Linked DNA regions of Notamacropus eugenii. The protein of the gene in region 2 interacts with the protein of the main gene of each other region in a pairwise test. Links are inferred from orthologs where the notes say so. Each region holds a gene or a part of one and is shown on either strand. Other genes may lie near its edges. The genes, in order: GCC1, AMOTL2, THRA and NFIL3.

Region 1 (7,302 bases), on a different chromosome or scaffold from region 2:
AAACAAAACAATATATATTAAAACCTAATTCCCTTTTCAGCATCTACTATATGCAAGGCACTAAGAGGGAAAATATATATACATATATATTATCTACTCTCAAAACACTTATTAATGTACAAGGATAGGTATACCAATATTGCGTGGGGAAGAATTTCATGAGGACCACTTAGAGATAGGATATAAGCAAAAACTACAGAAACATGAAAGGAAAAAGTGCTTCTGACTGGAGAAAGCAGAGAAAGCTTCACAGAAATGGAAGTGGTATTTGGGTGGGACCTTCATTGAAGGATGAACAGAATTTCAACAGGTGGAGGGAGGAGACTGGAGTGGGGAGAAGGGTGAAAAGAGGAATATTCTAGGTAGATGGAGCCATGAATAGAAGCATAAAGCGAGGAAAGCTTGTTTAAGAAACACAGACTAGGTCAAGGTGGCTAGACTCAAAAAGGGAATAATTGAAGAAATTGCTAGAAAGTAGAATAAAAGTTCCTTGAGGGCAAAGTGTTATTTTTATCTCTAGCATTTAATACAGAGTCTGGTACGTAGTAGGTGCTTAACAGATACCAGATATAGGAATGAGTTTTATTTTGTAGGTAACGGGGAACCATGGGAAACTGTATGTGTCTATTTAGCTATTTGTGCTCTCTGGCCCACCTGAGTGTTTTGGAAGTAGTGTCTCCAGAGAGGCCGAATCTTGTCCTGGCCTCCCACATCCCAGACGGTGAAACAAATGTTCTTATATTCCACGGTCTCCACGTTGAAGCCTGTGAGGAAAGGGAAAAGGGGGGGAAGCCTGGGGGGGAGGAGGGGCACTGTAATGTGGGCAGGTACATTCAACTCTACAAAAGCGACGGGAGATCAGCTTGGTCAGGAGAACTTCTGGGAGTCCCCCAGAAGAACATCATGCAGACTTAAAAGAATTAACCGAACTGGGCCCAGGGCTGCTGCTTCCACATCCTGGCACCATCAGCCAAAGACACCATGACCTACTTTCTTGGAGCAACTGTATCTAGTGTCAGGGTCAGGCCCCAGAGAGGAAATACAGGGGACGCTCACAGACTACCAGCCCTCCCCTCCGTCCCAGGAGCTCACCTATGGTGGGGATGGTAGTGACAATCTCGCCCAGCTTCAGTTTGTAGAGGATCGTGGTCTTGCCTGCGGCATCCAAGCCGACTGCAATAGAGAGGCAGGGTAATGGATACGGTACCCGAGAAGCTCCGACTGAGACGAGGAGGGAGAGGGCTCGGGAACGGGAAAAATGAGATCGGAAAGTCTCAACGTGCATCTCCCGCTCCGGGGAGCTACGTTAGGGGGGAGTCCGAGGGAAACCTGGGCATCACGAGCCATTTCTCTTCCCCTCCATAGAAAAACCCGCACGCCCAGGGCCAAACAAAAAACCCCACCCAAAGTGGGCCTGCGGATTCAAGGGAGGGCAGGACTCAAGGAAGGAGGTGGGGGCCCCACAGGGACGGGGGCTGCCTCTCCAGAGAGGCATTCCAGTCGTGTCCAAGGGCCTCGCGTGGGGGCGGGCGGCCGGCCTGTGGGTTAACCCCGCCCAGGCCGGCAGGTTCCCGGCCTGGGCGCCCGCAGGCTCCGGCTGCTGCTGCAAAGCGGAGGAGGCTGCAGGCTGGGCCAGCTGGGCTGCAGGCCGTACCTGTCTTACCAACCCCGCCCCCCGCTCCCGAGGGCCGGGGGTCTTTTATCCCTTCTCCTCCCTCACCCGCCACCCCGTGCCTCAGTTTCCCTCATCTCCTCTCTCGACCACCCCCACCCTCACCCCCGGCTCGGAAGGGGAGGCCGAGGCTGGGCGCGCAGGGCCGGGTGGGGAGGCTGCGGGGGCGGCAGAGGGATGCGGGGGCGGCGAGGCTGCGGGGGAGGCGGAGGGCGTTACTCCGTGGGCAGGGAGGGATGCGGGGCCGTGACGCTGCCCGGGACCTCACCCATGAGGATCCGCATCTGCTTCTTCCCGAAGATCCGCGAGAAGAGCGCGGACACCGTGAGGCCCATGGCTGGGCCAGGGAGGGAGGAGCGGGGAGCGGGGAGCCGGGAGCCGGAGCCGGAGCCGGCAGGTTGCTGGGGGGATGGAGAGCAGCAGCAGCAGCAGGAACCGGAGCCGCCTCCGCGCTTACAGGACCCGCGTGACGTCACCGAAGAGCCCCGCCCCCACCCAGGCCACGCCCCCATCCCGCACACCTTAAAGAGCTTAGAGCCCAACCTTCTCTTTTTGCAGAGGAGGAAGCTAAGGCTGGGAGGGAAGTAATTTGCTCGCAGTCACCTGGATGTAGGAGAGATGGGGTTCGAACCCTGCTCTTCTGACTCTAAATCACTTCTTTACGCCAGGAAAAACTGAAACAGAAAGAAGGCTCAGGAAGAACGCGTACCTCCCCCCCAGCATTCTGGAATAGTCTACCTTGTGTGTTTGTGGCAAGTTGAAGAAAGAAATTAGGGTCTCTTTCCAGAATATTGCCTCAGAGCCCATCATCCCTCCCACCATCAGGATCATTTGTAACAGATGCAGCTTCTCTTCCCCATGCCTGCCAGGGCACCCCAAGATGCGGTGTTTTTTACTCTTTAACCTCTTTCCATTCTTTCCCAGAGCCTCTGCAAGGTAAGGAGGGAATCTACGGAACCTGCCCATATTTCCAGGTATCACAACTGACTTACAATAAACACCAATGGTAATAAAACATTAATATTATGTGCTTTAAATCACCTTAACCTCTTGCTTCTACTATAAAGTAAGGAACGCATCTATGGACTTCTGCCCTGAGTTTCAGGTATCACAACTGACCTACAATAAACACCAATGATAATAAACAGAATAAGTATTAAGTGCTTTAAAATGTTCCAGGCACTGTGCAGAGTGCGGGGGTTATGAATACAAGCAAGACAGTTCCTGCTTTCAAGGAGCTGGGTTTTTTCAAGGGCATTAATTCTAAGGAACCCCAATGTGGTTTACTTACAATTCCCTGTACCTCAAGTAAATAAGAGGCAGGGTAAAGTAAGAATTTCTCTCTTTAGAGCAGAAATTTCCTCTTGTACTTTGTATCTCTCTGACAACCTCTAGCCCAGGTCTTGTCACATAGTAACTTAATGCTTGAATTAAATTGACTGGTAGGATACAGCAAAAGTAAAATAAGTTTTAGATCATAAATCTAGGGGAAGAAATCATATTCAAGTTCAGATGCAGTCCCCAGATTTGCTGCTTTTCTTCTCTGTAGTTATATAAATACACCTCTAAAACAGGGCTTTTTTTTGGAGGCAATGGAATTAAGTGACTGGCCCAGGGTCATTCAGCTAGTAAATGTTTGAGGCTGAATTTGAACTCAGGTCTTCCTGACTCCAGGAACTGTGCTCCAAACACTGTGCTGCCTAGCTGCCTCAACAATAGGTCTTTTGAGTTGGAAAGGTCATAAGTGATTATCCACTACTCTCTTTTGACAAATTAGGAAACTTTAATGAACAAGAGAAATAGTGATTTGTCCAAGGTTGCACAGGTAGAAAGATATTAGGGGAGAGATTTAAACTCAGGCCTTACTCACAAATTCAGGATTCACTTCCACTACACCACGAAATGCTAGACATCTGTATCAATAAACACTTGCTGAATTGAATGCAGAGATCTGCAGATGGCCAATTTGCAAATTTAGAGCAAACATCTCTCAGGAGGCACCTGACCATAATGGCTGCAGCTTTCTGGATCTTCTAGACTGGTGAATAGAATAATATGTATTCGTATAGTACTTAAAGCAAATTGCTTATTTGATCCTCACAACAGCCCTGTAAGGTAGGTGCTTTCATTCCCATTTTACAGATGAGAACACAGGCAGACAGGTTAAGTGACTTGCCCAGGGTCCTGTAACAAGAGGTATGGAGAACAGCCCCTCAATACTCCCGTCCCCAGCTTCCCATGGGGGGCGGGGTTCTCCTTCAAGCACTACAGACATTTTAACAAATATCATTTATACGGTGCTTTAAGGGGTCCAGGAGTCAAAAAGAGGTGAAGAACTGGTGGTCCTAGATCTGGCAGGGGGTCGCCTCCATTCCCTGCGCCGCAGTCGTGCATACAGGTCTCTCTATGCATTTTCCCCTCCACTGCATCAGATACCCTGACCAGCTCAGACCCCAGGAAGCAGCGCCCAGCCTCGCCTAAGAGCAACCGCAGCAGCTCGACTGGCGCTCGAGGCCCCTCCCCTTGGCGCTCAAAGGCCCCGCCCCTCTCCTTATGCCCCACCCCTTCGCTCTACGTCCCACCTCTCCTCCCCGAGCGCACGCCTATCCCGAATGCCCACCTGCACTTCCGGCGGAGCCGGAAGCGTTGTTGACAACTGACTTGAAGTGGTTACCGAGTTAGGATCGGAGCCGGAACCGGTCTGTCCCGCTTCGGGGGCGAAGGGAGCGAGGGGCGCCGCGGCGTCTGCTGGCTTCGTCATTTGCCCCGCTAGCCCTCTGGGGCCGGAGCCAGGAAAGCGCCTGACATGGCGGCCTTGGCAGCTGCACCCCCTCGGCGGGAGCGCGCGTAAGGTCGGACCCCTCCCCGCACTGTCCCCCCCACCCCAGACTCCGTGAGCGGTGACGTCAGGGAGCTGCCCCTGCCATGGAGAAGTTTGGCATGAACTTCGGCGGGGGCCCTAGCAAGAAGGACCTGCTGGAGACCATAGAGACGCAGAAGAAACAGCTGCTGCAGTACCAGGCCCGCCTCAAGGACGTGGTCCGGGCTTATAAGAGCCTGCTGAAGGAGAAGGAGGCCCTGGAGGCCAGCCTCAAGGTGCTCTCGGCGTCCCACGAGGCTGACGATGCCTGCCAGGCCCCAGGCCTTCCCCTGGCCGAGGCTGTGGATGACCGGTGCTCCACTCACAGTGAGGACAGCACTGGTACTGCCACCAGCCTGGACACAACGGCCAGTCTGACCAGCACCAAGGGTGATCTCGGGGTGGAAGATGAGAGACTGCCCGCTGGTCCAGCACCTCCGAAGTCTGAGGAAGCCAGTGGGTCGGAGAGTGGCGTTAGTTCCAGTAGTGGGGATGTGCCAGCCAGTGTTGGCGGGGAGATCGACAAACGTTTGCACCAACTGAAGACCCAGTTGACCACCCTGACCAGCTCTTTGGCCACAGTGACACAAGAGAAGTCCCGCATGGAAGCCTCGTACCAGGCTGATAAAAAGAAAATGAAACAAGATTTGGAGGATGCCGGTAGGAAGGCTGAGGAAGAAAGGAGCCGACTGGAGGGGGAGCTCAGGGGGCTGCAGGAGCAGATGGCAGAGACTAAAGCCAGGTTGATCACACAGCAGCATGACAGAGCCCAGGAGCAGAGTGATCATGCTTTGATGCTGAGGGAGCTGCAGAAACTGCTACAAGGAGAGAGAACCTTACGGCAGGATATTGAACTGCAGCTAGAGGAGACCCGGGAAGCCCTGGCTGGACAGGCCTATTCAGCTGACCAGGTGGAAGGGTTCGAGTTACAGATCAAACAGTTGACCCACGAAGTGGAGGAACTGAAGCAGGAACTGCAGGCTCTTCGAGAGGAGAAGACTCATCCAGACCCACGGCTGGAAGAGCTTCAGGAAGAAGCTGCCCACCTTAAGAGTCATTTCCAGTCCCAGTTGCAGCAGGAAATGAGGAAGGTAATTCACCTTATCTGATTCAAATCTATAGGTGCTTAATGCGTGACTAAAAATATTAGACTTTTTCTTCTTTTCAAACCCTATACTGTAGTTGAAAGAAGTGCTAAATTTGTAATAAGAGTTCAAATCCTTACTATGCCACTTACAGCTATGTACCCATAGACAAGTTGCTTTATCTTATAGAACTTGGTATTCTCTTCTACAAAATGAGGGATTTGGACCAAATTTACCTACGAGGTCTCTTCATGCTTTCAATTCCTTTATTTTCATGGTCCTTACCCAAAATTTCTCATGGACAAATTTACTGGAAAATCTTGGTCTAATTGATGTTTACAAAAATTACAGAACATACGTCTAAGGGGATGTGGTATTTGTGGGTGCTGTCTGGAATTAAGTTGGAGTGCTTCCAGATTCTAGGCATTGGCTTCTTAACAGCTGTGTTAAGGAAAACAGTGAAGTACTGTATTCTATTTGTGTGGTTGATATTTTTTTCAGAAGGAGGCAGTTTCCTTCAGTTGTTCTCAATCAGGATTTGTTTTGGAGATGAATGTGCTATCCCAGAATACTGTTTTGGATTTTATGAGAATACCGCTTTTCAATTCTGGACTTGCTAGGCAGGGGTAGCATACAGGAGCGTGCAGTTCCTGAGGATAAACAGCAGATTAAGGGTGATAGACATAATATGCTAGACGTGTGACAAAAATGTAGAAACTGAAAGCAGAATAGAACTGTTCATGAACACTCAATAAACATGTATCTGTCATGTGCTAAGGCACTGTGCCAGGCAATGAGATTACACAGGGGAAAAAAAAACATTCCAGGCCTCAAGGAACTTAGACTCTACTGGGTAGCAGGTGTCAGGAAGAAACAATACATGTACACAGATAAGTATAATACAGGATAGTGTTTGAGAAGAGCAAAGGAGAAATCTAGATAAAGTGTCACAGGAAAATTTAAAACGGGAGAGAAAATTTCTAACTGGATGGATCAGGGATTCATGGAGAAGGATTCATTTTTAGCTTCTTGAGCTGAAGACAATGCTTCTCAGGGAATAAGTGTAATGCATTTGTTTTGACTTGATCTAGTAATAGTATTAATGCTCATGTGATTTTTGTCAAGTCACAGAAAATGACCTTAATATTATTTGGTGAGATAAATTCTGAGTCTTCAAGGGGTGAGGGCAGGGTTGCAGAATGGGAGTGGATAATAGTTTAAGTTTTGTTGGTGCTTGAATCAATGAAAAAGTTCTCTAAAGTTCTTCCCATTCCTACCAGCACATCCTATTTAAGTGCCCTCTCTCTTCTCTGCCTTTCCTAGATTCAGTGACAAGCTCTGCACTCTCTCTTAATTCATCTTTTTTGTTTCCTTGGTTTTTAGACTGCTTTGGCAGAGGAGCAGCTCCGTCAGTATTCTCAGATGGAGGAACAGAGGGTGGCTGCCCTAGAGAACCAAGTCTCAGAAGTGTCTGAACTTCTGGGCACCTATGAGAAGGCTAAACAAAAGGATCAGCTGGCAATTCAGAAGCTCAAGGATCGCCTTCTGCAGCTGGATATGGAGAATAAGACACTTGCTCTTGCAGCCTCCAGCCGTTCTCCCCTGGACAGTCACAATGAGGAGACCAGCCTGGATGTCAATGTTCTAAAGGATAAGATGGAGAAACTGAGGAGACTGTTGCAGAT
Region 2 (7,495 bases):
ATTCTAATCATGAAAGGTCATAATTCACATCTATGTGACATGGGGAGGTCTGTCTAGGTATTAGTTACCCCAAAAAAAGAACTGGTACAAGCTAAGCTGATATATTTGAACCAATGTCATAGGATGACCTTGGGGATCATTCTGAGACAGTGAATATTAGAAATAAGGAAGGAGGAAATGACTATGGAGTGCCAGATAATGAAAGAGGAAAGGACTGGATATGAATTATGGTATTGTGAACAGAGGCTTTATTTAACAAGCCACTGGGAACAAGAAAGTCCTGCCAACAAGCACTAGTTAAATCACATGGTCCCTGTAAGCAGCAAACTATCCCCCTTTTACCTGGCCCAGCTTACAGTATCTTAATATATCAGACAAATACAAGATGACAAAGAGGTAATTTCCCTAGATATTTTTTATACGTTATTTGGACAGAGTCTAACTGGCTCTCCTCCTCAGTCTGTTGATAGTAATTCATAATAGTTGTAGTCATAATTAACAGTAATAGCACATTCCCTACAGAGGCAGTACTATGGGTAAGGAAATGCCATGGTTTCAAAAAGGCACAGAACTGAGTCTAGCAGGGGCTCAATGATCGATTAAGGTGTTCTAGGGACGAAGAGTTTTCCAATATCTGGACTCTAGGAAGCTAGCGACTCCTAAGGCAGCTGCATCATCACAATATTCCCTAACTCTATAACCATCAAAACCCAAATCCATTTGTACATTAAACTCATTTTTAAAAGAGAACTCTATGATAATGACTCTGAATAGTAGCCATTATTTCCCAAGTCATAATGAAGTGACCATCTGAGAGAGGTGGGTGAATTTGTGGATGTTTCTGACTCTCTAAGCCAATGAGATATCTAGAAATCACCAGTTTAGTGTGATAGTGATAATAATATAATAATATGAGTAGCTAGCATTTATAGAGAGCCTGAAGGCTTGCAAAGCACTTTCTCATCTTCACAGAAATCCTGGGAGGTTAGGTGTTATTATTATCCCCATTTACAGATGAGGATACTGAGGTAGACAGATGTTGAGTGCCTAGCTCAGGGTCACACTGCTAGTAAATTAGTAAATGTATGAATGAGGCAGGATTTGAGTTCAGGTTTTCCTGACTCCAACCTCTATCCACTGTGTTACCTAGCTGCTCCAGAGTGAGAAACTACCATCCTCCCTCCCTTCCCTCTCATTTCATGCTAAACCCCACAACCCAACTATGACACTGGAAGGATCTTTGGCTAAGTTAGAAATTGCATAAGTAGTATAACTTTCCACCCAGTCTTTTCATCATACCAGCCTACCACTCCTAGGGCAGGATTGAAGAGATTCTGAAATCCACAATTTACGAGAACCAACAAAAATCCTTAGGAGTCAAACCACTTTTATGTTTCACAATTACCAGAGCATTTTCTACAGTAATCACAGTCTAATAAATAGCGTGCTCACTAATGAAGACTGTCAGTGGAGAATAATTAGGACAATCCAGAATCTACCTTAGACACACCATCACTTGAGCTCTCAAAAGGTGTACCATGCAAGTTGTCCTATCTTGTGAACAAGCTAATAATGTTTTTGTAATGTTGGACCTGATAAAAAAAACCCATTAATCTCAAATATCAAATAACTAAACCATAAGGTCATTATAAACTACAAGTCCTTCTTTTAGGTTAAGGAGGGCCCTGGAGCTATAAACCATTACAAAAATAATAATCTCCCCTTAAAGTACTTATTTTCTGGCTTTTTGTAACACTCAGTGTTCCACTAAATAAGGCGGGGTGGGGGTGGGAGAGGGAGAAAAAACGGCCGGAAAATTCTCTCCAAAATACTGAGATTCCTACGTGCCTAAATTAAACCACACTTTCTACCAACTTCTGCAACAGAGTTCCAAAACTGTAACTGGATCCCCCCCATACAAATAACTTCTGAGTCAAAAACGCTCCGAACTCCTTAGTTTTAGAACCAATTTGAACACCAATTCACCTCAAAAGTGTACGACCGATTGCCATCTGAAAAGTATTTATATTTCCTTGGCTGCTCTGGTCCCTCTTTGTTTTCCAAATATTTCTGCCCTGACATCATCAGGGTTTGGACTGCAATTAACATTCTTTCTAAGTGAGGGCCAGGCTTATGGCTCCGGAAAGCATTTTTCCAAACAAGACAAAGAGGATTTCTTTAACTAGTTGGGGGGCAAAAGCACCTGTAACTCAAGACTAACCAAATAATCCTTGGATTGCTCCCCCCCTTTCTTTAATCATTTCCAGGCCTTTCCCTCCCCTCCCTAGCGCCTCCCGTTTCCAAATACCAGAAGACTTGGAAATCCATAGGTTTCAAGGGCATCGCAAGAGCCAGGGTCAAGAGCTAAGGTATCCTTCCTCTGCCCCCCAAGTATCCCTCAGGCTGGAATGATCAAGCTTGCGGGAAGATTTCCCCAATCTAAATCGCAGAAAAGCCGCCAAGAGTCGTGCAAAGGGGAAACCCAGTGTAGTCGAAGCACCGGGATCGCGGACGAATGAGGAGCTCTCTCGGCTCCCAATCATCCGCTCCCGCCTCCCCTAGGTTCTCTCTGCATGGCCCCGAGAGCTCGCTCCCTGTCTCCCGGCTGTGCGCTACGAGACACTGGCAAATAGAACGCGTCAATTTCCCTGGTGAAACTTACCAACCCATAGCCTGAAAGCCTCAGTCCTAGAGTCTCAGACCCAGCCAACAGAAGTTGCCGGGGAGCTAGCCGTACAGAGCTCTTTCGGAGGGAGAAAATGCAGAATGCGTGCGTGTCTTGGCTTATCTGCGGCCCCTTCCTACCCCTACTGCCGAAATGCCAAAACAAAATTTTAATAATAATAGTTAAAAAAAAGAATTGGAAAAATCAGAGCAGCGCAAGGAAAAGTCCGCACGCAGCTCTGAGCTCCCGGGCACGGAGATCCTGCCTCTGTGACTGCTGGAAGCGAGACTGCGCTCCTCCAGCTGTACCGCGAGCCACAGAGGTTGGACTGTGCAAGAGGCGGCAAGCTATGCCAGGAATGTGAGAGTTTCAGGTTCCCCCTTGGGATCAAAGCTAACCACAAATAACCTCTTGCGCTCGCCCCATCCAGCGGCAGCAGTGAGAGGCTGCGCACTGCAGGGGCTACTAACTGGGCTCCCCCGCCCCCTTCACCACATGGCTCCATAACCCAAGGAGCGATTCTTCCCCCAATTTTTCTTCTTCTTTTCTTCTGAGTTCTTCTTTCTACTTGGCTCAGGCTTCTAACTGGCATTAACTCATTCATTCCCAAATGAATATTTGTGCCAGTGGAGTCTCCAATGGATATTTTTGTTGGACTCTAACATCTAGGTAGTATTTAAAATTTTAATTTCCAATGAGTGCAGACCGTCTAAATAAGGAATTCTTAACTTGGGGTCCGTGAACTTTTTTTTTCAATTTTGATAACTATATTTCAACATAATAGGTTTCTTTTGTGTCCCGTATAATCCTATGTCTTTTATGCATTTAAAACTTTTATTCTGACAAAGGGTCGTTAGGGCTGCACTAGACTGCCATAGGGGTCCATGACAAAATAAAGAAGGTTAAGAACTTCAACTCTAAGGAAAGTTATCTGTTTTTTTTTAAAGTTTGGGTTCAAGCTGCAGATCTTTTCTATGGGTAAAGTCTGCAAAAACTCTACACATGCTATTTGATTCTCAAACCCCTTTCAGATAGATGTTAATATTATTCTCACTTTACAGATGAAGAAACTGAGGCAAAGAGTTAAGTGACTTGCCCAAGGTCACATAGCTATTAATAAATTGTCTAAGGCAGAAGTTAAACTTAATCTTGGTGACTCCAAATCCAGAGTTCTATCTCTTACGCCCCAGCAAAAGAATTTAATCCATTTCCAAATGCTCTAGGCCCTCACAGAATAAAATGAAATTGGGGAATATTCAACAAAACAAATAAAGATATGATTGAACATAGTAAATGTTAACACCAGGTTTCTTATATACAGTTTAGTGACCCCAGTTTCTGAGTTTGACCCAATCATGTTTTGGTTATTGCTACAGGGGCAGGTACAAACAGGAAATTGGGCAGCTATTTGGATAATTTTCTTTAGGTTGTTTTTGTTTTTGTTTTTTTACCTTAAAGAGAGGCAGCAAAACAAACCCAAATCTAAAGCCTTTTCTCTCAAATAGACCAATGATATTCATTTGTCACCTAATTGCTGCATTTCCCTACCTGCAGTTTACAGAGCTTCTGCCAGTGCAGGACTTCCCATGAGATATTTAATGGCCAAGAAGCCATTTACTAAGCCCAGTGTGTGTGTGTGTGTGTGTGTGTGTGTGTGTGTGTGTGTGTGTGTGTGTGTGTGTGTGTGTGTGTGTCTGTGTGTGTGTCTGTGTGTGTGTGTCTGTGTGTGTGTGTCTGTGTGTGTCTGTGTGTCTGTGTGTCTGTGTCTGTGTCTGTATGTCTGTGTGTGTGTCTGTGTCTGTGTGTCTGTGTCTGTGTGTGTGTGTCTGTGTGTGTGTGTATTTTTCTTGGAAAATAAATGCTACAGTACCACTCCTATGTCCATAACCTAAAGAGATCATTAAAAAGGAAAAAGGACCCACATACACAAAACATTTTGAGCAGCCCTTTTTGTGGCAGAGTTGGAAACAGAAGGAATGTCCATCAATTAGGAAATGGCTGAACAAGTTGTAGTACATGAAAGTAAAGGAATACTATTGAGCTATAAGAAATGATGAGCAGGTGAATTTCAGAAACACTTGGAAAGATTTATATGAACGTATGCTGAGTGAAATGAGCAGAACCAGGAGAGCATTGTATATAGTAAAAACAACATTGTGCTAGCTTTGATAGACTTAGGTCTTTTCAGCAATACAACGATCTAAGACAATTCTGAAAGATTCATGATAGAAAATGCTATCCACATCCAAGGAAAGAAGTGATGGAGTCTGAATGCAGGTAGAAACATTCTATTTTCCTTTTATTTTTTTGTAGTTTTTCCCTTTTGTTCTGTTTTTTCTAATACAACATGGCTAATAAGGAAACATGTTTTACATGATTGCACATATATAACATATCAAATTGCTTACTGTCTTAAGGAGGAAAGAGAGAAAATTTGGAACTCAAAATTTTATTAAAAATAAGAATGTTAAAAACATCTTTACATGTAATTGGAAAAAATAAAATACTATTTAAAAGAAAAAAAAGAAAGTGGATGCTACAATTCCAGGAGGGAGGATGGTCTGGTGGAATTGGAATCTGGCCGTGTGGGGATGAGTTCAGGGTCTGATGCTTTGGAGCAGCCAGGGCCATGCAAGATGAGTCCCTGCTTCTGTGAGCCTCTATCTTTTCATCTCCAAAAAAAAGAAAGAGGGGGAAGAACCAAATAATCTCTAAGATCATTTTATCTCTCACATTCTGTGAAAAGTAAACAGGGTAAAGTTATTTTTTTTTTAAAGGAAAGAATAATCTTTGAATTTTGAGCCCCTGAGTTGATTTCCTGCCTTTGGTGCAGGCCCACATACAGGTGCTCATTACGTGGGTGTCCATAGGTGTCACCTTATATTCCTGGGCCTCAGTTTTCTCATTTATATAATAAGGCACCCCTTACTCCCAGACTAGAAGTCAAGGTCCCATCCAACTCTAGATCTGTGTTTTTACATAAAACTGAATTTTGTTCAAAATGAAGCTTATCTAGAAGAAGGCACATTAGTCAAACTCCAAGGTCTCAACAAGGGGAGCAGGGCACAAAAGAAAGGACACTTTAATTTTTTTTTTTTTTTGGTGCTATTTCATACTACTTGTCTCAGGGGTGGGGAAGCTACAGCCTCAAGGACACATGTGGCCCTCTAGATCCTCAAGTGCAGCCCTTTGACCGAATCCAAACTTCACAGAACAAATTCCTTTAATAAAATAATTTGTTCTGTAGAACTTGGACTCAGTCAAAAGGCTATACCCAAGGACCTAGAAGGCCACATGTAACCTCGAGGCTATAGATTCCCCACCCTTGTCTTAGATGCACCTATTTATAATGGTAAAAAACTCATTCCCATACTCTGTAGGCCTTTAATTTGTGAAGAGTCAAATGTGATATTTATAGGAAAGCCCCTGGTGGAGAATAATACAAAAAGGAACCCCCAATGTCCAAACCTTGCCCTAGAGCATACAGATACCTAGTCAGCCCAGCTTTGGGGGTGGGGAGATTGGGGGTGGGGAGGGAGGAATGAGATTTGAGAGAACCTGGCAGAAATTTTCTTCCTCTCTTGTGGTTACCACTTGAACATATTGCTTCCTGAGTTATCCTTACTGGATAAAAAAAATGTTAATGACCAGAAAAAATTTAAAAATCAACAGACTCAAGAGAAAAGGGTCCTTGGATTCCTTGTCCCTACAGCCCTTAAGTGTAGGTGTGTTTCTCAGCCTCTTCTTCCTCAGCTAAACCGGGCATTTGGTCTTCCCTCCTGTGACATTCTGCTAAATAGTAAAACCACGTACTTATTTTCACCTGTGCCTGTGTACGCCTGTACACGTTCAGCATTTCTCTTCTCTGCTGTGCTGTAGACTGACATGGTTACCTAGCAAGCAAAAATAAATAAATAAATCGCAGGCTGATGGCAGCAAATCATCTTCTAGCTTGAGGATGATTAGTGGGCCTGGCAGGGAGAGAATCCAGAGACCACCATTTTGAAATCTTTAGCTCTCTTTTTCAGGGTCTCCAGGAGTCTTGGTTATCAGGAGAAACAAAACTGGTGGTCTTTGTGCTGTCTTCTGCAGCTCCCAAATTGGACAGCCAGATTCCAGTATAAGAAACATAAAAGGAGGCATTTACCATCCAGGCTGTACTCTCCTAGCTTTGTGGTACCCTAAAACAAAACTAAAGACTGGGAGGTACTGGAGAAGTAATCCCTGGAGAAACGTAATGATAAAATAGGTCAGTAGACTGAAAGGTTGATCAGAAAAAAAGATTATGCTAAAGTCAACTGGTTGTTGATTCACAAGTTAATATTAACTGAAGATAGAGGGAGAGACAGAAATAGAGAGAGAGAGAAAGAGAGAGAGAGATGAGAGAACTAGAGAGATAGAAGGTAGATGTAGGTAGGTAGGTAGGTAGGTAGATAGATAGATAGATAGATGGATGGATGGATGGATGGATGGATGGATGGATGGATGCTGTGTGTGTGGTTTATAGCTGACTATGTGGTCTGCCCTGTGCCCATGTGCTGCAAGGCAAGTTAACTATGTGTATGTTTTTGGCAACTGTCTAGACACTAGCTTTGCTTGGAAATGGTGAGTTGCAGCCCATGCATCTGTGTGAGCTAGAGTGATTCATTTTTTTGAGGAAAAGGAAGACATGGCCTATAGTATTGTCATTCAGAAGTGTTTGAGGAAACACCCAAAAAAAGTCCATAAAATATGAAAGACTGTCATCTAAAGTGTCCATCTAGACTTAAGTTAAGCAGATATGTTGCAGATAAATTAGAACGGGCACTGGAAAAACTGCAAAGCCTTTTT
Region 3 (7,198 bases), on a different chromosome or scaffold from region 2:
TAGCTCCTAACCCTTTCCCTGGAGTGCTAATTCCCATAGACGTTAGGATGGGGTGGGGTATAGGAGACACCAATACTCTTACCTACTAAGCTTTAGAATTGAATAGGGAGCCCTGGAAAGCCAAAAAGACAGGAATCCTCATTGACATTAGGAAACCCCAATAGTTCCTAGAGCTCCCCTTATTTAGGTCCTGTATCTAGGCTTAGCTTAGCCAGGTAGAGAGGCCTGGTTGAACAGAAGCACCCTTCCCCACCCCCATTCCCCAAACCCTGGTGGCCACAGCTGTGCTTTTCTCTTGGTAAGGAAATCCAGGATGTCCTGAGAAGCCAGCAGAGCCCCTTCCACCCCCCACCCCCACCCCAACCTCCTGCTGACCCCTGGGGAGGCAGCAGGGAAAAGCTCACTATTAGCAACCAGAGAAATATGAAGGATGTCCTAGCTAGTCCCTAGCTCTAGGACAGAAGATTATAATGCTGAGACATGCAAAGACTGGGAGACACTCAAAAGAAAGTGACAGGAGAAAAGAAATATAGAGCTTAAAAGAGAAAGAGACCAGACAGAGAGATAAACAGATAAAAGGACAAAAACACACATAAAAACACAGCAATTTGAACAGAAGGACAGAAGGTAACATCTAAACGGATAGTAAAAAAACATCTAGTTGAGGTTATGGGGAGGCTTTGGGGTAAGCAGGAAAGATTCAGGCAAATGAGTTCCCCAAGACACTTTTAGGGTGGGGAAGTGGGAGGCAGAGAGTTAAGTCTGATTCCCCTAAAGACAACCTTGCTGCCCCCAGTTGTCAAGGCAGCTTAGGCAGGGTTATTGTCTGGGGCTATTGTCTCAGTCCTCAGAAACCCCTTACCTCCCCTCTCTCACGAAAATTTCTCTTCCTAATCTCCTTTAAAATTGTCCATGCCCTTAGAGGAGGGAGACACAGGAAAAAGCATGAGACAGAGAAAGAATGTGTGCATTTGTGTCTGTGAATGCCTGCATGTGTGACACAGTAAATCTGCTACTCTTATCATTCAATCAACAAATACTTACAGAGCAGCTATTATACAGGAAACATTGGGATAAATGCTGTTGGGTATAAATGGGTACAAAATAATACTATCCTTGCCCTAAAGGGATTTACAATCTAAATACAGAGTTGTTCTTAACCTTTTTCAGTGTCATGGAACCCTTTGTCAACCTGGTGATGCTTATCCACCCTTCTCAGAATGTTGTTTTTAAATGTATAAGATTATAAAAAGAAACTATCTATATTGAAATAAGCTTCTAAAAAAAACAAAACAAAAAAAATATGGCCCATAGGTTAAGAATCCTTGGAGTAAGAGAGTATGTATATTACTATATATGTGCATTTGTCTGACATAGCTTTTATTCTTGGGGGCAATCTTCTCTCCTCAGTTACAATGTAAACTCCTTGAGGAGAGGGCCTGTCTTTTGCCTCTTTTTGTATCCTTTTCGATTAGCAGAGTGCCTGGCACCTGGGAAGCAATTAATAAATATTTATAGATTGATTAAACTCCTTGAAGGCAAGAATGTATCTATTCTTGGTATCTCTCTCAATGAAAAGCAAGGCAGTGGTGCCTGGACACTAGGTCCTCCATAAATACAGTATCTGTTTGTCGGTTGTGACTGCACCTGGGACTATGTATAGCGATGTCTGTGTATAGGAGTCTGTATGTGGGTATGTGCCCGTGTCTGTCTGCCTGTCCTTGGGTCCCCCTGTGGGTGTGTCCATCTCAGCGTGTGCACTTGCTCACGAGTGTTCGGTCTTCCTGGCCCAGTGTGGGTGTGTCTATCACCCTCCTGTCCTTGACGCCCCGCGTCCCCGTGTCAGCGCCTATCCCGGTGTGTCTGGCTTTCACCGCCTCCCCCTACCCTTCACCTCCCGGACAAGCCCCCCTTCCTCCTCCCGTCAGCCAGCTTCTGCCAGGTCAGGGCTCCCGGAGTACTACCAACCGCGCCTCGCTCCTCCTCCCTCACCCTCCCTTCAAACTCTGACCCCGCCACCCCTTAGGCCTTTTCCCCATCCAGAAGAGGGGGAAACCCCATCTGCCAGGGGCTCGAGGGACACGTTGCAAGCCCCTCAGCTCCCTCCCTGTTGGTCTCGCACTTCCCCAAGTGGCCTGGAGCATGCAACTCTCCGGGCGCTTCCCGGGGACCCCGGAGTTCTCCTACCAACTCCTCTTTTTTCTTCCCCCAGCCGCGTTTTTGCATTTGGGAGTGTTGCAACTGGAGGGCCATGCAGCCCCATGTGAAGGGGCTGGGGCGGTCCTCGAGCCCCGGGGAGGCTGCAACCCCCCCCCCCCCCCACTCCCGCCGGAGGAAGCTTTGCAAAAGCAGCTCGGCCCCGGCAGTCGGGAGGGCGGAGGGTGGGGGGAGAAACAGGCCGCCCGAACCGTAAACAAACCGCGGCGGCGGCGGCGGCTGGCGGGGGAACAGGGGCCGCCTGGCAGCCGGGGCCGCGGCTCCGACAATGCGTAGCAGACGGGACCGGGAGAGGCCGGGGACCCGCGGGGCGGCGGAGGCGGGGTGTGGGGGGCGAGGCCCGGACGCCATCTGCCCCTGCAGCACCACCGCCCCCCTCCTGGCCACCAACCCGCTGCAACCGTCCCGTCCCCCTCCCCCGCCAGCCGAGTCCTCCATTTACTCCGGGGAGTTGGTAAGTTGCAAGCACCCCAGCACTGACAGTGTCACCCAGGGGCTGGCTGTGCAGGCAGCGGGTCCCCAGGGACGCCCCCAGCCGGGACTAGGACCCCAGCCAGCGAGCGTCCGGTGGCTTTGCATAATCAATCGCAATGTATTTGCATATTAATACCCCCTCCCCCTCCCCCTTACCTCGGCGTGGCGGGCTGGGCTGTGCGTGGGGAGGGGTGGCGGGTGGCTCAGCGCCGGGGCCCGGGGGTGGCCATGGGGGACCGGTGGGGCCGGGGCCGCCCGCCTCCTGTCCCCGGGTGTGAGTGCGAGTGAGAGAGGGGGAGGGGGGCAAGTGTGGCGGCCCCGCGGCTCCTCCGGCAGAGGCGGCGGCCGTGCTAGCTCCTCCCTCCCCCGCCCCGCTCCGCTCGGGCTCGGGCTCGGGCTCGGGCTCGGGCTCCAGGCTCCGCGCCGCCCGGGCCTGGCTCACTGCTGCTCCCTGCAGGCCGAGCCTAGCAGCCCGGCGGCCTCCCCTCCCAGCCCGGGCCATCCCGGCCAGGTCGGCTGTGCCGAGCCCGGCCCGGCCCCGCCCCTATCTCCTCTCACCTTCTTCATCTTACTCGGACCGAGTGCGCTATGCCCTCAGTCCATTCACGCCTGGCGGGTCCCCCCTCGCCCCATCCTATCCCACGCCGGCTCACTCACAAGTGCCCATCCCTGCCGGATCGCTCCCTCGGGAATCGCTCGCTTCTCGCTAATTTGCTCTCTGACGCTCGCTCCCACCCGACGCTTCTCCCGGTCCCACTCTGAGCCCTCCTTCTTTCGCTAGGCTCCCTCCTGGAGGCCACTTCTTGTCCCCAGCCATGTTTCTGAAGACCCTCCGCAGCCCAGGAGGGAGGATGCCGTCGGTTAGTCAGTCCACAAGCATTGGCTCAGGGAGTACTATGAAGCCAGGCACTGTGCTCGGCTCTGGTGATGTAGAGAAAAGTAAAAACACGGCCCCTTTGGTCAAAAGGAAGAGACCTGGAAAGGACTATGTACCTGCAGGATACATGCAGAGGTCTCTCCCGTCCTGCTCTTATATCTCATCGTGATGCTGGGAGAATTTTGATTTTTTTTTTTCAACGGGGTGGAGAACCGAACTGGAATCCAGAACCTAGAACCCAGAATCCTTTGTGTATATGCAAATTGTAGGAGTCATCCAAAAAGAGACCTCTCCAATGTGTCAGGTCCCCCACCCCCACCCCACCCCACACACCTTCCTATGCATACACATACAGCTGTATTCATGGACATTAAACCAACCCAGAGACGCCAAAGCCCTTTTCATCTTGGGATCTTCCAGGTTGGGCAAAGCTCTAATTACCCCAGCCCCCCACTCTGGCCCTGCCGGTTCCCCTGCTGTCATTAGCCCAGTTTTACCAGCGGAGGCCATTGCCTTCCCACGGGCTCCCCAGGGTGGGGCCCCTCTTCCCCTGCTCCCTTCTCATGAGGAGGTGGGGATGAAGTTTGGTCGATCACATTTGGAAAATTTGTCTGACTAACAACAGCCTGAGTTGATTAGATTGTCCAAACCTCTCCTTTTTAGAGGTAATTCTCTCATGGTAGGTCGTCCCTGGGGGCTTGTCTTCCAAGAAGGTTTGCCCTTCAGATCTCTCATGGGATCAAGAGGAGGAAGAGGAGACACTCTTTGGAATGCAGTGATCATAACATCACAGTTTCAGAGCTGGAAATGGTCTCTGAGATCATCTAGACCAACCCTTTGTAGAAACTACTCTGGACTTACATCTTCATTTTACTGATGAGGAAAGTGAGGTCAAGAGAGTTCAAGTGACTTGCCCAAGATCACACAGAGAGTCAGGATCTTAAACTGAGGTCATCTGATGACAAATCTATAGCTTTTTCTTATTCTTCTTATTCAACCCGCTGCCTCTCATAGTGAGGATGGGAGAGATTTCACCATCTTAGCTTAATAGTGAATATGGATTTTCCTATCCCTCCATCTTCCCTTGTACTGTGAGGTGTGTTTGTCCTCCATTGCCGCAGAAGACCATGCCATCAGAGAAATAATGACCTGACTTGCACTTGACTTTGTTTTGAGTGAGGGAGGGCTGTGCAGGTCACTAGCCTTACTTCTCCTCCAGAACTATCTGAATCCAGTGACCAGATATTCATCAGGATCACTAGAGATGACCCAGGATGAGGCAATTGGGGTTAAGTGACTTGCTCAAGGTCACACAGCTAATGAGTGTCAAGTGTGTGAGGTGAGATTAGAACTCAGCTCCTCCTGACTCCTGCACTGGTGCTTTATCCACTGCACCACCTAGCTGCCCCTGTACTCTGAGGTGGTGGAAAGGAAGAGAAGGGAGAAGGGAATAGGAGACTATAGTATATTAAGGATAGGAGAGACAGGAAAAGGAACCTGAGAAAGGGTGGTCTAAGGAACAGCCTGTTCTCTGGCTATTGTTGACAAAAGCTGTATCCAAACACCTCCTCTTTCCCTCTTTCTGTTATTATGGTGTACCCCCACAATTTCTCCCTCTCCTATTCCCCTATCAATAGGGATTCTAGATAGTTATCTCCCTAAGAAGACCTCTGCCTAAGAGCCAACACCTCATACAACTCCATGCCCCTGTAATCATTTCATATCCTAGTGACAGGTGGGGGATACTGGCCATCAACTAGCCAGTTGTGGAAATAAGCTCTCTGTCTCCCCCACCCCCAGCACTCCCCTAGCCTAAAGAGAGTTGGTACCAGCAGATGAAATGTGAAGGAAACTCTCCAAGCTGTCTTGGCATTACCTCACTGCTTGACAGACCTCTGAGCACTGGGGAGGAGGAAAAGGAGAGCAGGGGAAACTGAGGTACAGATGGTTGATGAAATCAGGAATATAGGTATTTTTCTTATCAGGAATATTTATTTTTCAGAAAGGAGATTGGTTATTGGGATCCTAGGAAAAGGAAAGAAGAGAAGTGTATGGTGGAGGTAGGGATGGGCTGTTGGGGGCAAGGGGAGGGAGGAAATAGATTTGGTAGACTTGGAGGAATAAGGGACTGGGAAAGGCAGACAGTTGGGAAATTATCCAGCAATTACCCTGATAAGTACTAAGGAGGCCACTTAAGTCCCCCACAATAATTACTCATGTTTTCTCCCCAATCTCTGATTTCCCTTTACCCCACTTGGGCACTCAAAAGACAGGAAAGGGAATTTGGGGGAGGACTATGGGAAAAGACTTAATAAGAAAGCTCAACACAGGACAGGCGAAAGAATGACCTTATATATAAAACAAGAGGGAGGTTGAAGAGGTTTGACCTCTGCCCTCCACCAAACCAGATTTTTCTGGGTTATCTCCAAGTGAGACAAACATGGATCCCAAATTCTCTCTCGGATTCCAACCTTCGGTATGAACTCTCTCCTCTTCTCATAAATGTCTGCCAAATTTCATTTACACCAAACTCATTACAATCCCCCTGCACACTTATTAACTATTAATTATTCCCACCTTTAACCTCTAGATTAAAGGTCATACCTTAAGTCTAGAAGAAGGGTGATGATGATGACACACTTTGTCTAGGAGAGGGTTGGTCCTTTGCAATCAGAATATGGGGCAAGGAGATGGAAAAAGGGATAATATGGCAGAGGGAACAATTATCAAGACCTGGGTACATGTGGCTCCTTTCTGTGTCTAGGTGCCAAGGTCATGTGGCTGATTTTTCTCTTCCTGATAAAGGGAACATGTTGGGTGAGTGAGGATAGGAGATTATCTCAGGAATTCTGGTGACTGAGACAAGGTGAAGCTGCTCTAAGGTCTGGGTTCAATTTTTCCTTTTCAGCACCTTGGATAGTTTCTATCTTTCACTTCTTTTTTCTCCTGGCTGGTGGGAGGAATTGGCCATACCCATTTCTTTTGGGGAGTTATAGAGATGGGACAGGCACAAATGAAGAGAAACAAAGAAAGTGAAAATCCCCTCCCAGGGGTGAATGAAGGGAATTCTTGGCTTCCCTTAGAAATTGATCCTTGTAAAGAAGCACAGAGCTATGGACATCCTCCTCTCTGAATATAGAGAAAGGAAGATATAGGCTAGGAGTTAGGGGTGGGAATGGAAGGCAGTCACTTCTGAGGTGAGCTAGACCTAGTGTTAGCTATTTGTGTGTGTGTCTTTGTGTGTGTGTGGGGGGCACTTTGCTGAACTTCTCTTTCCCACATCTGTTGCCAGTTGACTCCCCTCAGTTGGCACCTGGGCATATTTTCAGGAAGCAGTGCTATAATAGTGGCATCTAGCCTAGAGCCTTGGTCTCCCTTTGAAAGAAAATAGGTGGATATCTCTTAGGTGCCCTACTCCAAGAAGTTCTTTGACATTCCTGTGCCATGTAACAAACAGAATTTCTATCACTGTCTTCCTGACACCCTTTCCTAGTTGGGCGGTGAAACTTCCTCAACCAATATTCCCTGACTCCTCATTGACCTTTCCCAGACTCCTTTCCAAATTCTCTGCAGCTGCACCAGATGTTGCCATGTCATTTTTTCTTCATGGGCTTTTCCCTGGTATGGGTA
Region 4 (7,895 bases), on a different chromosome or scaffold from region 2:
TTCCTTTAAAATATTGTTGTATGAGAGGATGTCAAAGGGTAGGTGAACTTTTGCCAACCAAAAAAATTTAGGGGATTATAGTATAAATTTAAGTAAGTCAATGAATCATTAGAACAACCGTTAATGAAAATCTGGTCTAAAGGGGATAATTCAGAGTATTTGTCAGAATTCAATAGACTGGGAGAGCTTGCAGATGATATCTTACAAAATCAGTTGAAACAATTCCATTTGTAGGTGGATGAAATAGAGAGTTCTATATTTCTGATCCCAGAAAGATGAACACCTTAATAGCAGATTACCTGTTGAAAAATAGCAAGGAAAAAGATGAAATTTTTACAAGAGACATATTTAGTGGACTTGAATTATTGTCTCCCACCATGACTGCCCACTCTTTATGACCCATCTGATTGGGGTATACTGATAGCCTGTTTTTTAGGTGGAGTCCTACATGCATATCATGAGATTTGAGCATATTCCTTCCCCATCCAGACTACCATCTAGTCCTGGGCAGATCAATTGGTGAAGTCTGAATAGAGTACTGGTCAGCCTCTGAAAATTGGTATTCTGAGGAGGATGGAAGGGAGGCAAACTGCTTTGTTCTCTATGATATTAGGTTGGGAGAAGGTAATAATGCTCTTTCCTGTAAGGAGTATTGGGTGTGACTTTTGAAACATAGGGTAGGTAAGAAGACAATTGATGGTCAGCCTATGGGGTTTTTAAATTGAAAATCAAATACTATTTTTAAATATCTGGGACCATGAAGATATCCTAGAACTCCTGCAAGGACCTTTGTACCTCAATAAAATTTATAAAATCCCTGATGGTCTCTGTCCTAAATTATTGGTAGTGCATACAATCTGGTCATTACCCCATCCTATATGCTTGTTCGGAGCCACTTCAATCTTTGTATTCAGATTTGAGGGACTATTGGAATAAACTCCATTAAAATGAGTATTAAACTTCCCCCTGAGTCTCTAATTGTTCTAACAGTAGGACTACATGCAACCAGAGGTCATATGCCCAAGTGGAATTGCTTATCTCAAGTACCTATTCTCACTAAACCTAGTGTTCTTAACTAAAACCTGGTTAAGAGTTGGTGGGAAGACCACCAATGTAAAGGTGGATCTTGCCTATTTAAGTTTCAGATGGATTATAGGCATACACATCATGAGTTTTTCAGTCATTTTTAAAATTTAATTTATTTATTTTTAGTTTTCAACATTCACTTCCATGAGATTTTGAGTTCCAAATTTTCTTCCTATCTCTCCTCTCCCCCCAAGATGGCATGTAAATTGATATAGGCTCAACATGTATATTCATATTAAATCTATTTTTACATTAGTCATGTTGTACAGAACAATTAGAACCAATGGGAGAAACCATGAGAAAGAAGAAAAGAGAGAGAGAGAGAGAGAAGAGAGAAAGCAAATACTATGCTTCAATCTGCATTCAGATTCCATAGTTCTTTCTCTTCCAGGGTTGTCTTAGATCCTTGCATTGCTAAGAACAGATAAGTCTTTCAAAGTTAGTCATCATACGTTGTATACAATGTTCTCCTGGTTCTGCTCATTTCACTCAGCATCAATTCATGTAAGTCTTCCCAGATTTTTCTGAAGTTGACCTGCTCATCATTTCTTATAACACAATAGTATTCCATTACATTCATATACCACAACTTGTTCAGCCATTCCCCAACTGATGGGCATCCTCTCAATTTCCAATTCTTTGCCACCACAAAAAGAGCTGCTATAAATATTCTTACATGTGGGTCCTTTTCCCATTTGAATGATCTCTTTGGGATACAGACCTAGAAGTGGTATTCAGAGTCATTATTAATATATAGGTATGGTTATAGTGGTTATTTTGGATAGGAGTAACTAGAAGCCCTTGTTGCCTGAACCATCCTGTCTAGTTAATATTTTAAAATACTGGGTTGGGTTGGGAGCAAAATACACTTTCTCTTTAGTAATGGAGATGAGTTTCCTCATCTGGAAATTGCCTATGCCACTAAATTCATAGGTCCATTCCCTGTCCTTACTTAGCGAAGTTGAAAGAAGCTGGAGTACTTACTTCACCATAAAAACTCCCCTTATAATTCTCCTTCATATTTCCATAGTTTGGAGAGCAGACACTTGTAAAAGAGCTTGTATATGTTGATTGGGCTTGGTGAAGCAAGTGGCAATTTTGTGGCAGAAGTCCTAGATTAGATAGATGATGGATTATGTGAAAGACAAGGAGTGGAAGATCAATCCCTAACAAAATTTAGGGTCCAGTCAACCTACTTAAATTTGGGGGGAATACTTTAAATGAGAAGAACTCTGATGATTCTGGAGATAGCTTATAATAAGCTAGTCCCATTTGCTTCCATATAGACTAAATGTGAAGCCTAAATGCTTAACCTTTCTGAAGAACTTTTATTCCCTCTTTTCGTATTATTGTGTTGTGGTCTCTGTGTTACTGAGTCATTTCAAAGTATACTTCTTTAAAGTGGAGAAAAGAAGAGGTTATAGCTTTGGAAGCTCTAAAGGGGGCTGTCCAGCAGTCTCTCCCTGGTTCATTTTGATCCTGTGAAACCTATGTTCTTTGATGTTTCAGTTCATAAGGACAAAACTGAATGTAGCATTTGGCTGATACTAAACAAATGTTAGGCTTCTGGAGGAATAATCTGCCAGAAACAACCACTTGCCCTTAAAAAAAATTGCCTTCTATTGGGTTCTATTTGTTACTGAACAAATGATATTATGTTGACCCTTCATTGTGAGTTGCCCATGTGAGTTATCTATTTCAAAATTGTTATAACAAAATAGATGGAACACAGGAGGTTTCCATTCTTTAAAGGAAATTGTAACTAATATTATGTTTATCTGGGTCCCTCAGGTATTACTGCCTTCATGAGCACATTATGATATTTGTTAGAAGTGGAATACTCTAGTCTCAACTAGTTGCAACCAAAAGATTTTTATTTATACTTACTCTTGGAAGGTACCCAAGGATTTGAATGAGTATATAGTTGTTAAAGATACCATTTTGTGAGTCTTTTGATTGATGGAGGAATTTTGCTCATGGTTCCGCTTTATACAGTTGTGTGTAGCGCATCAGAAGTATCGCTGTTTGTGCTACGAACCTGACATGATTATTTTAGTGATGGAAGATCCTATAGAAAAATGTAGGGTCCTTGCTGCCAAGGGATGGGATATAGTAGGACTGACACCTATTTTGTATAGGCTTGTTTGGTGCTCCAAGGGAGTTGTAAGTTGGAGACCATTTGATTTCCCTTTTGTCTGAGGCATAAAAAGCCTAACTAAGCACAGGGTGAGTTGGTGTCACTTTTTATCAGAGGTCCTACTGCCTTTGCCTTTGCTTGACTAAGGAGGTAGAGGGGAGTAGTGCTTCATATCCCTTTATGTATTAGAAATTGTAGTCTTTTAATTTATTATTAGTAAAACTTTTATTGTATTTTATGATCTACAAGTGACTACCAGGATAATGAGCAAAAATGAGTAATATATAATAGTCTAAAGAAAGTCAGACTCTATTGGATACGTAATTGCTGGAGTTTTCATTTCCTGAAAAAATCAGCGCATAAATACAGTTTGTGAATAACTCTTAAAATAGTTCTTTCATTTATATGTTATTTCCTATACATGGAAGGGAGGGAGGGAAGGTGTCAAGTTAGCAGAAGAATCTTTATTGCCCTTATCTATGAAGATCATTAAAGGAAGACATTAACTGCAGTGTCAAGAGTACAGTATATGCTTTGTAGCCCACAGCAGAAAATGCCAACTGGCATAAGAGCAGAGAACACACCCAATAATGAATCAACATGTATGTCTTCAGCAGACTTTCATGCTAGCCAAAGATTATGTATAATTCAGTGGAGGACTGCCCATATGCGGTAGCTGGGTAGATATAAATCAGCAAAACTAGTTTTTCAAATTTGTTTTACAATCATTTTTAAGTTTCAGTATCCTTAGTTTCGGAGGGAAGTGGTGTATTTTTACATTCTTCTCTATTTTCACTTGTAGCAGTGGTCGACTTAATAGAAATCTGAATTTTTTGGTTTGTTTATTTTAATCAGTGATCTACATAACAAAGCCTTATTCGGAATCAAGCCTTTGGATCACTCTTCTTCCCTCCCCCACCCCATCCCCATTTCCAGCCTTTTGTAAAAAGTCTTCCTTTAGGAAACCCTCTACTCCAGCTTCCCCCATCCCTGTTCCCTTGCTAGCTGGGCCTCTAGCAAACCAACGGGACAATCCACCCCCATTTCAAATATGTCCTTTCTCACCACGCTGCCCGCCCCTATCAATTTCTTATCTATGAGGTCATGGAGCCTGAGTATGTGCTTATTTAACCAACAACACTTTCTGCTCCCCAGGAGCTGGGGGTGGGTGTAAACTGTGAATCATGTAGCTTGGCTTCGGATTTTCCTTCTCCCCCACCAGGCTCCCAGCTTCTGGGGTCCACATTTCAGCAAAGCTGCCTCTCCGACCCGGCCCCGGGGATCCGCCTGCAACAGGTAGCTAGGCTGTCTTTCACAGTTTAAAAAAAAAAAAAAAGCAGGGTCAGAAGAATGAAAAGAAAGAAACAGAGGAGAAGTGAGAAAAGAAAAGGGAGAACGAAAGGGCTGAGTCCACCTTAACTCCAACCCGCTGGCCCGCTCCACGTAAATGTCAGAGCCCCTCCCTCCTCCCCTCCTTTTCTCCTCTCCCCCTGCTCGTTATGCAATACCCTTAGCACATATAGTACCACAAATGGTTGAGCTGAGGGAGGAAGGGAGGGAGGCAGGAGGGAGGAGCAGATGTAACAGGGATAAGGGAGGGAAGGGAAGCATTGGTAGTGGTGTCGTTGGAAAAGAGGGAGGGACGTAAGCAATTCAAGTTGCGGGCCTCCCCCTCAGTTCCTCCGCCCCGACGAGTAGTACCCATTGGTGGTGGGGCTGGCTCTGGGCGCTGTGATTGGGGCGCGGTGGACGCCAGTCACCACCGAGGCTGGCACAAGGGTACGTTGCGAGGAGCACGATGTTGACCTACTAACACAGATCTCTGGCGGCGGCGGCGGCAGCGGCGGCGGCGGCGCGCTGGTGGTTCCCCGCGGTAGCAGGCTGGTAGACCCCTCCCATCACTCCTCCTCTACCGCCACCCCCTACCCCCCACCCCCCGCCCGCGCCCCTCTCTCCGACCCCAGGAAGTGCTGCCCCTGGCTCTCCCCTCCGTGTCGCGCTACCAGCCTGCGGGCCTGCCCCGGAGCGGGCAGCGGAGCCCCAGGCGATCCCCTTCTCTTCCGATCCTTTGATGCTGCCCCTGGCCCCCCCGGCAGACCCCCACTCCGGCACTCACAGCAGTGCCCAAGCCTCCCTCAGCCCTGCCCAGCCTCTGCCCTCTGGTAGAGCGGAGGCTAGGAGTCGGGGCTTGTGTTCTCGGGTTCACTTGCGACTTTCCGGGGAGACCTCTTCTCGTTTTTGTTGCGTGTTCTGCCCCTCCCACCACATTCTCCGGGCCAAGATGAAAATGAAAAAGGTAATTACACATGTTGTGTACTAATATTTCTAGGCTTTGTTTTCATTTTCTGTCTTTGTGTCTCTCTGAATCTCCCTCTGTCTCCACTCGCTGCCTTACCTTACCCCACCCACTCATGTGTAATTTCGAAAAGTTGCTGTCACCTCCAGAGTGTGTATGTAGAAAATAGTGTGTTTAGATGACCTCTCTAGACGTGTGTATTTATTAATTATCCAAACTTTTGCTGATATGTCCATGTCGGAATCTCCACCTTAAGGTGACTGTATTGATTGCCACCCCCTTTCCCCAGCACGTAGACTTTGCTCCCTTTCTCTACCCTGCAGTTGCATAATATGACTGTATTTAAGGAAAATTGGTGTTTTGACAGAGAAAAGCAGTAAGGCAGCCCTTCTGAGGTCAGTCCATTTCCGAGCATGCAGCAGAAGGCTTTCTGACTCACGCCCCCACTCCCTCTTCTCTAGGGATGGAGCGAGTTTAGGGGGTGGGGGGAATGGGAGAAGATGTGAGGGGTTGAGTAATGCTAAAAATACTCCATTTGGTTGAGAAATGAGGTTTGAAAAGGGGGGGGTGGTGACGGCATTCAAAAAATGCCTGTTCAACAATTGTTTCTGTGCCGGAGGTTAGTCCTTACCTAGAGTTTCCACACTAAGTATGTTTTAAAAGGCCGAAGGAAGATTTGTGAGGTTTGTTCTTTCATACATTGCATAATCCGCCCACTGTGAATGCTGGCAAGGATTGTGAGAATGGGTGTGTGTGTGTGTGTGTGTGTGTGTGTGTGTGTGTGTGTGTGTGTGTGTGTGTGTGTGTGTGTGTGTGTAATGATTTTGTAATTTTGGTGCAGCGTCGGGAAATTAGCTTATTATAAATTGCATCGATTTTCTATTTTCAGTACTACATCATTTAAGATCTACAAATATATACACATATTCTAGTTGAATGTTGGGTTTCAGATGATAAGGAAGCTTATCATGTGTCTCTGGGGTGTTATTTTTCAAATCTGGAAAGAAGAATTGTGCCGGTTAAATTAGTCCCTTCCATTAACGGAAATCTTTTATTGTTAACTCCCTTTTCCCCTCACTTTTGTGTAATTGGTTTTTCAGACGCTGCAAAACAGATCACCTAATAGTTCCTGGAAATGTTGCATTATGTAACCACAGAATTTGCTGGCAGAGGACAGAGGAAGAGGGAGCTAATTACGCGATTTTTATAATCTAGCTACAAAGAAACTAGGGCAATAAGCTTTCAGAAAAATGGCACGGTAGCTGTTTTTTAGAAGGATGTTTATAAATAGAAAAGTAGACAACTGGGTAAGACGTGAGTTCGTTCATGCTGCCGAATATGTCATATACCCTAAAATGAAATTGTGTTCTTCTATATTTAGCCCTAACTATCACAATTTAGCAATTGTGGCTTCACGGGGCTATTTCTGGTGTTTTCTCCAGAACTGTTGGCAAATAGACGTTCAAGGCCATTTGCTGAGGTTTAACTCCAGGTCTTCTGAGACATTTTGATGATTCTGAATTTTGGACGGCATCTCCCTTAGGTGAAATTACATTCTTTAAAAAATGAAAAGACAGGGAAACTGCTGCTCGCCGAAAACCTCCCGGAAGGTTCCAGAGTCATTTTCTCTTCTGGGCATTTGTAATTAGCAGCCATGAAGTCACAAGTATTTCCTTCAGATTAGATTTACCACTCCCACCCTCAGATGTGATTTGTAGGAGGTAGACATAGGTCAGTAGTTTGTTTTATGTTGCATTTCCTGATTTCATTCAGAATAATATGTTGTAGAGGGTGTGTGTGTCTGTGTGTGTGTGTGTAAAATACATTGTTCTTGCACAACTTCCCCAGCTCCAAGCTCTTGGTCTGATTATATTTGCTATTTGTCTGTTTCTATGTATGTATACACATCTCCATATTCCAACACATTCACATTTGGTATAAGTTAGGTGTAGACAGACTTTTTGTGTTAATTAGAATTCTTTTTAAAAACTAAAATGAATTTTTCATATTTTTTGTAATTACTTTTTGAGAAGTGTATGTACCTATAAATAATTATAGTCTCTTTCTAGGAAATTTATTTAGACTTCAGTACCCTCAGTTAAGCTTCAGTGATTAGGTTGAGGGATATCTCAGAGCTCTCACTAAGAGATCAAGAGAATGGGCAGCTCCTCCTCTTGGTTGCTACTGCCAGTGGCCAGGCCCCAGTTTCATTTTTCTGCTGGCCCAACACCTTCAGCGGGTCCCTGGGGCAAACAACACCCCCACACCCACACCCCCTTCGTAGGCCTTCCCCCTCCACACCTTTACTGGATCTGTAGACTGTAGGAGTTCCAAGTTTTGAGGGATGTTAGGAGAGATTGTCAGCATTGTCTGAGG

Evidence for each region.
Region 1: the proteins of AMOTL2 (region 2) and GCC1 interact in a two-hybrid assay, tested with the Homo sapiens proteins (2 studies listed by BioGRID and IntAct). The two-hybrid records come from large-scale screens. The link is inferred for Notamacropus eugenii from reciprocal best matches to the Homo sapiens genes AMOTL2 and GCC1.
Region 3: the proteins of AMOTL2 (region 2) and THRA interact in binary tests that used the Homo sapiens proteins (3 or more experiments, as listed by UniProt). The two-hybrid records come from large-scale screens. The link is inferred for Notamacropus eugenii from reciprocal best matches to the Homo sapiens genes AMOTL2 and THRA.
Region 4: the proteins of AMOTL2 (region 2) and NFIL3 interact in binary tests that used the Homo sapiens proteins (3 or more experiments, as listed by UniProt). The two-hybrid records come from large-scale screens. The link is inferred for Notamacropus eugenii from reciprocal best matches to the Homo sapiens genes AMOTL2 and NFIL3.

Annotation. Positions count from the first base shown.
Region 1 is NC_092874.1:122,542,725-122,550,026, forward strand, and holds the start of GCC1 (GRIP and coiled-coil domain-containing protein 1), read left to right. Parts: upstream 1-4,264; 5' UTR 4,265-4,597; coding exon 4,598-5,623; intron 5,624-7,000; coding exon 7,001-7,302. Other genes in the region: ARF5 (ADP-ribosylation factor 5), read right to left, coding at 655-764, 1,093-1,173, 1,941-2,184. UniProt on the Homo sapiens protein: Probably involved in maintaining Golgi structure.
Region 2 is NC_092876.1:334,135,131-334,142,625, reverse strand, and holds the start of AMOTL2 (angiomotin-like protein 2), read right to left. Parts: upstream 3,047-7,495; 5' UTR 2,663-3,046; intron 1-2,662. UniProt on the Homo sapiens protein: Regulates the translocation of phosphorylated SRC to peripheral cell-matrix adhesion sites. Required for proper architecture of actin filaments.
Region 3 is NC_092873.1:355,632,271-355,639,468, reverse strand, and holds the start of THRA (thyroid hormone receptor alpha), read right to left. Parts: upstream 3,073-7,198; 5' UTR 2,848-3,072; intron 2,672-2,847; exon of another isoform or gene 2,558-2,671; intron 1-2,557.
Region 4 is NC_092872.1:108,333,012-108,340,906, reverse strand, and holds the start of NFIL3 (nuclear factor interleukin-3-regulated protein), read left to right. Parts: upstream 1-4,882; 5' UTR 4,883-5,519; intron 5,520-5,544; exon of another isoform or gene 5,545-5,914; intron 5,915-7,895.